Styela clava: one gene and its partner. The protein of the gene in region 2 interacts with the protein of the main gene of each other region in a biochemical or structural test. Links are inferred from orthologs where the notes say so. Each region holds a gene or a part of one and is shown on either strand. Other genes may lie near its edges.

Evidence for each region.
Region 1: the proteins of mutS protein homolog 4-like (region 2) and mutS protein homolog 5-like form a complex in vitro, tested with the Homo sapiens proteins (2 studies listed by BioGRID). The link is inferred for Styela clava from reciprocal best matches to the Homo sapiens genes MSH4 and MSH5.

The regions. Positions count from the first base shown.
Region 1 is NC_135259.1:8,594,187-8,598,121, reverse strand, and holds the start of mutS protein homolog 5-like, read right to left. Parts: upstream 2,513-3,935; 5' UTR 2,368-2,512; coding exon 2,217-2,367; intron 1,710-2,216; coding exon 1,585-1,709; intron 884-1,584; coding exon 760-883; intron 334-759; coding exon 208-333; intron 1-207.
Region 2 is NC_135250.1:4,577,833-4,581,767, reverse strand, and holds the start of mutS protein homolog 4-like, read left to right. Parts: upstream 1-1,178; 5' UTR 1,179-1,231; coding exon 1,232-1,475; intron 1,476-1,839; coding exon 1,840-2,058; intron 2,059-2,495; coding exon 2,496-2,610; intron 2,611-3,176; coding exon 3,177-3,308; intron 3,309-3,792; coding exon 3,793-3,935. Other genes in the region: GLIPR1-like protein 1, read left to right, coding at 1-64, 353-461. UniProt on the Homo sapiens protein: Involved in meiotic recombination. Required for reciprocal recombination and proper segregation of homologous chromosomes at meiosis.

The DNA of each region.
Region 1 (3,935 bases), on a different chromosome or scaffold from region 2:
AGTCATTACTTCATTTGAAAAAAGAGGTAATCAGAATACCTATCTATGCCTATATATACATATCCAAAAATTGGTTATATACAACATAAATATTTAATCAATCATTTCGAATCGGAGCATAACATTTGATTTATTTTCAAATAATCTTCTGTAAGACATAGTACGGTAGTTCGAAATCAACATACGAGTACCGTTACAGCCTCATACCTGATGAGTTCAATACTCCTTCCACCTCATCATCTGCTGTTCCAGTTAATTTTTTTAACAAATTAATGAATCTTTCATCTTGCTTGGCACTGGTCACTATCGTAGAAGGATGAAGTTCATCCACCACTGAAAATTAAATATCTCCTCAAACATGGTTAACAATGACAATATTATATAAAGCGACAAGGACAAAACCTCATATAATAAATATTTACAGATTTAAACCAATGCTACCACTTCGAGATTCATCTTCAAATTGGGGATGTGCAAACAATTCAGTTGAATTGTATTCAACAATGTTTAGTGCTTTTTTAAAAGATATTGAGATGAACATCATCAAAGTTATGCAAAATGAAATGCAGGAGAGATTTATGAAATACCAAACTTTTTCAATTTTATATCCCATGATAAATCTTTTAATTTTGTGCATACGGTTCCTACTGTATAAAAAATATATGAATCATCTTTCTATACCTTATAATATATACCCATATATATTTTTCCAAGCTTTCAAAAGCAAATTGTGAATTGTGAACAGTTCGAAAAACTCACATCTCCTTGGTAATGTAAAAGAATCAGTTTCTAGTGTATCCAGCAGTATATGAACTATTGCAGAATCCGAATCATAATATGCTGCTCCAAGTCGACCCCCATACCACAAGATTGTCATAATAATCTTAAAACATGAAAAAAAGGAAGATTAAAAATGTAAGAGGTTATGTGTTGGGTCTGATGAATAGTGCTACAAGCTTTTGTCTACCATCTATGTTAAAATCATTATTGAGAGTGCATATATCGTTTTGGTGGTAACAGATTGACAACGAAGAGTCGTATTTGCAAGCCATATTACAGTATTACCTTTGTGCAGCATTGTTAATACTTCAATGGACAGGCTAAATTTTTAAGCAAATCTTCCCAACAAAACAAAAAACTTATTGTGAATAGGTTAACGACTCTTACAACGAGAATATCGGTCAGAGACCAAAGACTTATCGATCGAAAGACAGGGGATCCCCCCAAACAGCGCTCTTACTCCATAGTGACACCTTGTGTCCCATCACTAATAATTAATATCTCGCTAATTATACGACATAATTCATCCAAAATCAATAGGCTTCTGGTACGACATATGATGAATGCACATGCAAAATCTGGAGCAGATTCAATCTCGCTTTCGTTAGATATCGCGTGCATCTAACAGACAGACAGACAGACAGACAAATACCTATCAACATACTTACCGATTAAAATCGATAGGTAACAAATATATTTATTTCAAAAACGCAATATAAAACATCTTGACTGCAAAACCAATCTGATAATCTGAAGACCATATGTCTGTATGTAAGCAGAAGGGAAAATAAGAGAGAACTAAACCTCTGGCTGGTCTTCATCAGTTGGTGAATTTTCTCCAGTGGCATGATGAGTAACATGAGACACAATGTCAGATTCCTGAATATCTGATGATGACAATGATGATGGTCGATTTGTTGATGGTGAAACTAGAAAAACAAACTATGTCAGAATGTGCCAGCGGTATTATAGGACCGCAATTACAGTAAAATTATCTAACAATTAAAAAAAATGAAATGCAAGTGAGATTTCCAAAATACAAAACTTTTTCAATTTGATATCCCAAGACTAAATCTACTAATTTTGCGCATAGCCTATGGTTTCAAATTATATCAGTATATTGAGAAGATGCAAAGTCATCTATCTTTACCTTATGTAGGCTATGTTTTATCCAAGTTATTAAAAGCAAGATGTCAATATGACATTACTAATCCTTGCCCCAGTATGGTAACCTGTTAATATGTTTATTTGTTTTTGTTCTGCTAAGATTTAGATATCGGATTTTTATAACTATATAACATATATATCAGTATATATATATATATATATATATATATTTCTGCTGTCAGAACAGGTTAAACATTTCAGCATTTAGATGAGATAATAAATCAGACACAGCTGGACAACTAGTCCATGTCTGCATGTAGACTTTGTACCTGAAGAGGTGGCTTCAATACTCTGATAATTTTGTGTTCCATGTGAAGCATTGTTTATAGATCGAGAAAGAACATTTTGAAAAGGACTCGACAAATGACGATGACATAAAGAAACATTGCTCGAGGGATCTGACAAATATCCCGTGTCCATATCGAAGTACAGAAGTACCGGTACCGCTGTACTGAAGTAATGATAAAGCTGTACTGCTGGATAAGAAAAAAATATGGTAACGGCTTGGTGAACCAGACTAATGGACTATCTGACTATGCAGATGCATGCTGTCGTCTGCAACTACCGGCATTTCCTGATTAAAATGACTAACGTGTTATTATACTCATCTGAAGTATCGAAAATAACGAACGAAAGATGTAAACATAGGACGACGGAAGTTTCAAATAATGCATTTTCGTCGTGACGTCAATGTTACGTTACGACGACGATCGAGCGTCTTATCTTCACGCAACGACGTGATTACGTCATCCGCATCGGGAGCCTCTTTCTCTCTGTGCGTCGCGGTTACGCAGTGAAGAAAATGACTGTCCGAAGTTAGGGCAGTGAAGGATAACGGTCAGATGGCAAGAAATATCGATTATTTCAATAGTAAAAATAGTCCAATTGAACCGAAATTTGCAGGGAATGTAAATTACCGCACGAATGTTTTACCGAGCAATTTTGGCACCGTTTGGACAATAAATGGCCGAGTTATTGACGAAAATATAATAATTTTGTCCGAAGTTAGGCGCTTTTACGGTATCACACCTCGGTGGAATTCTGCAGTAGCATCAATACTGCAATAACCAGACAACTGAATAATGCTAGAATGAGTTGTTAATTCCATTTACTTGGACGTCTTAAACAAGAGCCGCTGAATTGCGTTTCGTTGACCATTTAATTTTCACTTTGACGGATGGCGATGTGTGTCACAAGAACATCAAGTTGCCATTTCGTCTCTGACTGGGCAATACACATATTTCACCTAGGTCTGTAGGTTGCTCCACATAAAGTTAATATTTATCGTATTTGCTACATACAGAGATGCAGGTACTTGTTGTACCACGGAGAATTATATACGGTAGTTGTACTATGAGTACTGTACATAATACCGATATAATATACTTTATATTTCTTGGTTATTTAGCAGCGGTGTTTCGCAAATACGATGTTTCTATAAGGCCCCAACCAAATAGTTTGGGAAAAACACCACGCCACATTTTAAAATGAAAAATTAGTAATTATCCAGTTAGGGTTAAGCATCTGATAATTTCCAGCGCAATCTACATCTCCAGCGCAATCTGCATCTCCAGCGCTAACTCACAACTAGATAATTACCGCATATTTTTGGGAAGACTGTTGTGGGAGTTTTTTGGCGGAAGCTTTCCACAAAAGATTCCGCAAATACAATACAAATATTTGCCCATAATTTGCAAGTTTGTATACTTTTACTCCCTTGTATCTAAAACAATTTTGAGATGAACGGGGTAAATAGGATAACATTTACATATTTATCCCGGGGAGATGAAATTCGATAAAGCGAATATATTTACCGGTATGTGGAGTTTGAGCTCGTGTTGTGTGTGTGGACCATGGGGATGAAACTAGTCTAGAAAGCCAAGCCCACATTAATAAAACAAACAAAGTTATTCGCGTTACGAGTTTCTGCAGCTTCACGCTCCATTGCGGTCACTTGATTTGCTCGGAGATTGGTGAAGACGGTGGTA
Region 2 (3,935 bases):
ATATTGAAGGAGGATATGGGTCGACATTGGTTGCTTGTATCTACGGACCTGCAGGAAATGAATAGTAAGTGTAATAGTCTGTGGCACGAATAGCATGAGTTTCAAAACATAACACATAACCGCTGCAAGAATCAAAGCATATTTAAAACGTTGGAGTCACATTGTTCAAATTGGAGGCAGTAGTCCAAAGTTTGTAACTTTGCCTTGTCCAGTTGTCCGTCACATGGGCAGGCTACCGGTACCGCGGTCAGTCATTTGAGCTTCTTGTCTATAAATTTGAGCATTGCTTTATTGTTGCCTCTTATTTATTTAATTGTCGGTATTTTTATTCATTATAATAATTTATTTTCAGTTACGAAGGTGGAATTGAAATTTTGCCATATTTGGTGGGATACTCCTGCTCTCAATGTCCAGACGATGCTTCCGTGTGTATTGACAAGCTGTGTGTTTCTCCAACTTAGTATTGAAGAGTGTTTTTATTGACTTTATTGTAAATTGTTATTCACATTTTAGTTTCTTGCCGTGGTATCTGTTGGGTAACTTTTTATTATACGTGCATATATATATCTTCATTAGTATGTCTCCAAAATGTCAATTTTTGGGAAAATTGTGAAGTGACTGTATAGCAAGAATTGAGATTTAGAAAAAACTTTGTAATTAAAGTGGAAGGGTATGCGAGTTTGATAAAAACCCCGTTAAAAGCATAGTTCCAAAGCCTATTTCCGTTTTCAAGATTTTCATTCATAACGCACATCCGGTGAATAATATAGAATGAAATCCAATAGCAATTTTATATGAAAGGTAGTGGCGGCTTTATTTGCGATAGTTGCAAGGAACCGACAAACAACTCAAGTAGTATCGATCCTTTCTGCCAGGTGTAAACTATTTTAATACTACTCGACTTAGGTCTCGTTGCCAGACGAACGACCAGCGTTTGTCATATGATCAAACACTTTCCACATTAATTTGTTTTTTTCGACAATATATGTACACTCTGGTACACTGACATATTTGTTAGCATTTTGTACACTCTTTGGTTTCCGTGTCGACTGCTAAAATGTAAATTTATTTATACTAAGCGACTCCTTACACTTCCTTTAAAATGTGAACGAAGGGGTCAGTAATGTGCTCAACCGGAACGAAAGGTCGAATCGACGCAGACGACGTTCTTGCTTTGGTTTACGTCGAGACAGTTTCAGTGAGTTGAAATTTCCCTGATGGCGATGGCGTAATGGCGAATTACGATAATTCAAGGAAACCAAAGTACAAGTATGGCTTACTTGAATCACCAAATACATCGTATTTTTCAAGTAGTAGCGCAAATGAGCTCAGTGTTACATCTCATCAGCAGAGAAGTAAGGGTAATACATCGGGGAATTTTACCGGTATTTTTGATGCTTCACCTCTGAGTGACGACGTACGGTCTCCTTTGATGTCAAGGCAACAGAATGTCTGGAACCAGCAAGTTCGTCCAAGTAAAATTTTACTGATCAAACGTTGACAACGGAACTAGCCTATAATGTACCTGTATACTGAGCAGACTAGAATAGACTGGTATTGTTGTTCGTTGTAGGCTATATTAGGGTCTAGTCTGGTTGGTCTCGGTCCAGCATAAACAAAGTACATTTTATTCTAACATGAGTTTATCGCTTATGTTATTTTGCAATTTTGTTCAGGATTAAGACAAAACTTGTACAAGCATCGTTTATATTTAGGGGGCGTGTGTTTTCAAAAAGCCAATTCAATTGAAATTTAATTTCTTGTAAATCTTTAGCACCCAAAAAAGATATTCGTAATTTTATACGTGGAATTTTACAAACGGCATAATAATATTTTCAGGCCATGACTCTTCTATTGCCACTGTTGCAAACATATCTGGTATCAGTTCGATCGCTGGCGAGCAGAGAGGCAGAAGTACGGAAAAGACATCAAACTCTGATACACTATTTGCGTCCGCGGAAAACTCGACTTTACGTGTGAAAGAATGTATGCGAACACCAAAGAATACAAAGAATACAGCATTGTCGAGGCCAAGCACAAGCAGCGATTCATCCCACGGTATGTTAAGGTTGCAGTCCCAATTCCAGTTCAAATACTAATTTGTAGTGCAAACTCCCCTTTTTATAGAACAAGACCAAAACAGGGTCTTTCATTCTGGAGATCTGGGTTTCTTGAGCACATACATGAGGTAGATGAAGTAATAACGGCATATTTACGGCTGAATTGGCCGGTATTGAATTTTGCCGTTTCGTGACATATACTAATTTGTAGGATTAACCACCCTTTCGCTAGAATTATACCAAATGGATGGATTTCATTTTTTGGACTGAAATTTTTTGAGTGCAAATCGAATATATAGAAAAATGACGTAGCCTATTTAAAGCTCACGTGCAGTATAAAACCGCTTGTATGGCTTGACCATTTTTAATTCATTTTATTTCTTCCCTTTTCTGTACTTGATTGAAAATTGCATGAATTTAAAATATTTTTTGAAGTTTTCCAGCTTCCGACGGGGCGAGCGCCTCGCAAAACCCCAAAGTTAACACCAGGAAGGAGCAGCTCACACACAACACCTAGAGCTGTTGATTCTACTTTGTCTGGGGCTTCCAGGTTAAATTATATTATTTCATTCTAAACTTCGACTCCTTGCAATTTGAAACCCGAATCCGGCTCCGACTCTGGGATGTCAAAAAATTGACTCCTAGTTCAACTTCCCAAAACATAGTTCTCCAGACGCTTTTTTCAGTCTAAATATCAATTATAGTTTTGACTCGAAGTCTTGAGCCCGTGAAATTGAAAATGCAGAACAACAAACGCTAATCCAATTTGTTATACCGTATTTAAATCTCTGTAAAAATGAACTTCTTTCATAACAATTGAGTCGAATTGACAACTTACAACAAGCTGTTCCACGGGTGCGATGGATTGAATTTTAATCCAAACTCAAAGATCTGAAAAACCCAATGGCTTACAACTTGTAAATCTGTTACCCATTATTTTATCATTTCATAGTCTTTATTAAAATCTTTTTTTTATATATATATATTTTCTTCATAAGAAACTTTACTCTGACAACTGAGTTTCTACTTTGAAGCGTACAGTAGCTTACCCAAGCCAACGAATAAATTTTTCCTAACTTTAAATTAATTCATAACTAATTGGGGTATTGGCAACAGCTCAAGTACGCCAATAACACCAGGACACAGCAGGCGAACACCGCGTAGTGCCAGATCAGACGTAACAGACACACCTAGGATCACAGAGTCATCGAATATCGTAGCGATAGTGGAAGGGAGAGGATTGGCAAAGTATCGTGATTTTGTATATTTTTATATAACTTCAGAAAGAACTTTAGAAACCCGTTTGTTTATCATTTCAATCTATCGAAAATTTTAGTATCGTTTCTTTTGATGAATTCTGTGTCCAAAACGTGACCAGTTATTCTCAGTGTAAGCCCTTAAATTTGCTCAGATATGAATCGGTATTACTTCTGAACTTCTGACCTTGCTTTAAGCGAATTATTTTGCCTAAATATGTATGTATATTTATATGAAGAAGAGATTGTGAATGTTGTACCGATAATAACCATGGATGCGGGAGTCGGAGAAATTTATAATCCAATACCGACACCGCGTGAAGAAGAAAATTGTCTTCGTGTGGTAATTTCCGGATCCGACTCCAATGAGAACATTCAACTCCGATTCAGACTCGAATTACTGAAATTTTCAATTTTGTTTCTAAAATGCTTGCTTTTCAAATTTCGCTAAAATGACACTCAAAATATTTTCACAGAGGAGAGATTGGAATGGCTTCCATTGATTTACGCCATCCAGTTTTGCAACTATCTCAATTTTCTGATTCTCAAACTTACGTGAAAACTATAACTCGACTTCACCTACTCTCTCCGATCGAAGTTATTTTTCCAAGCACAATGT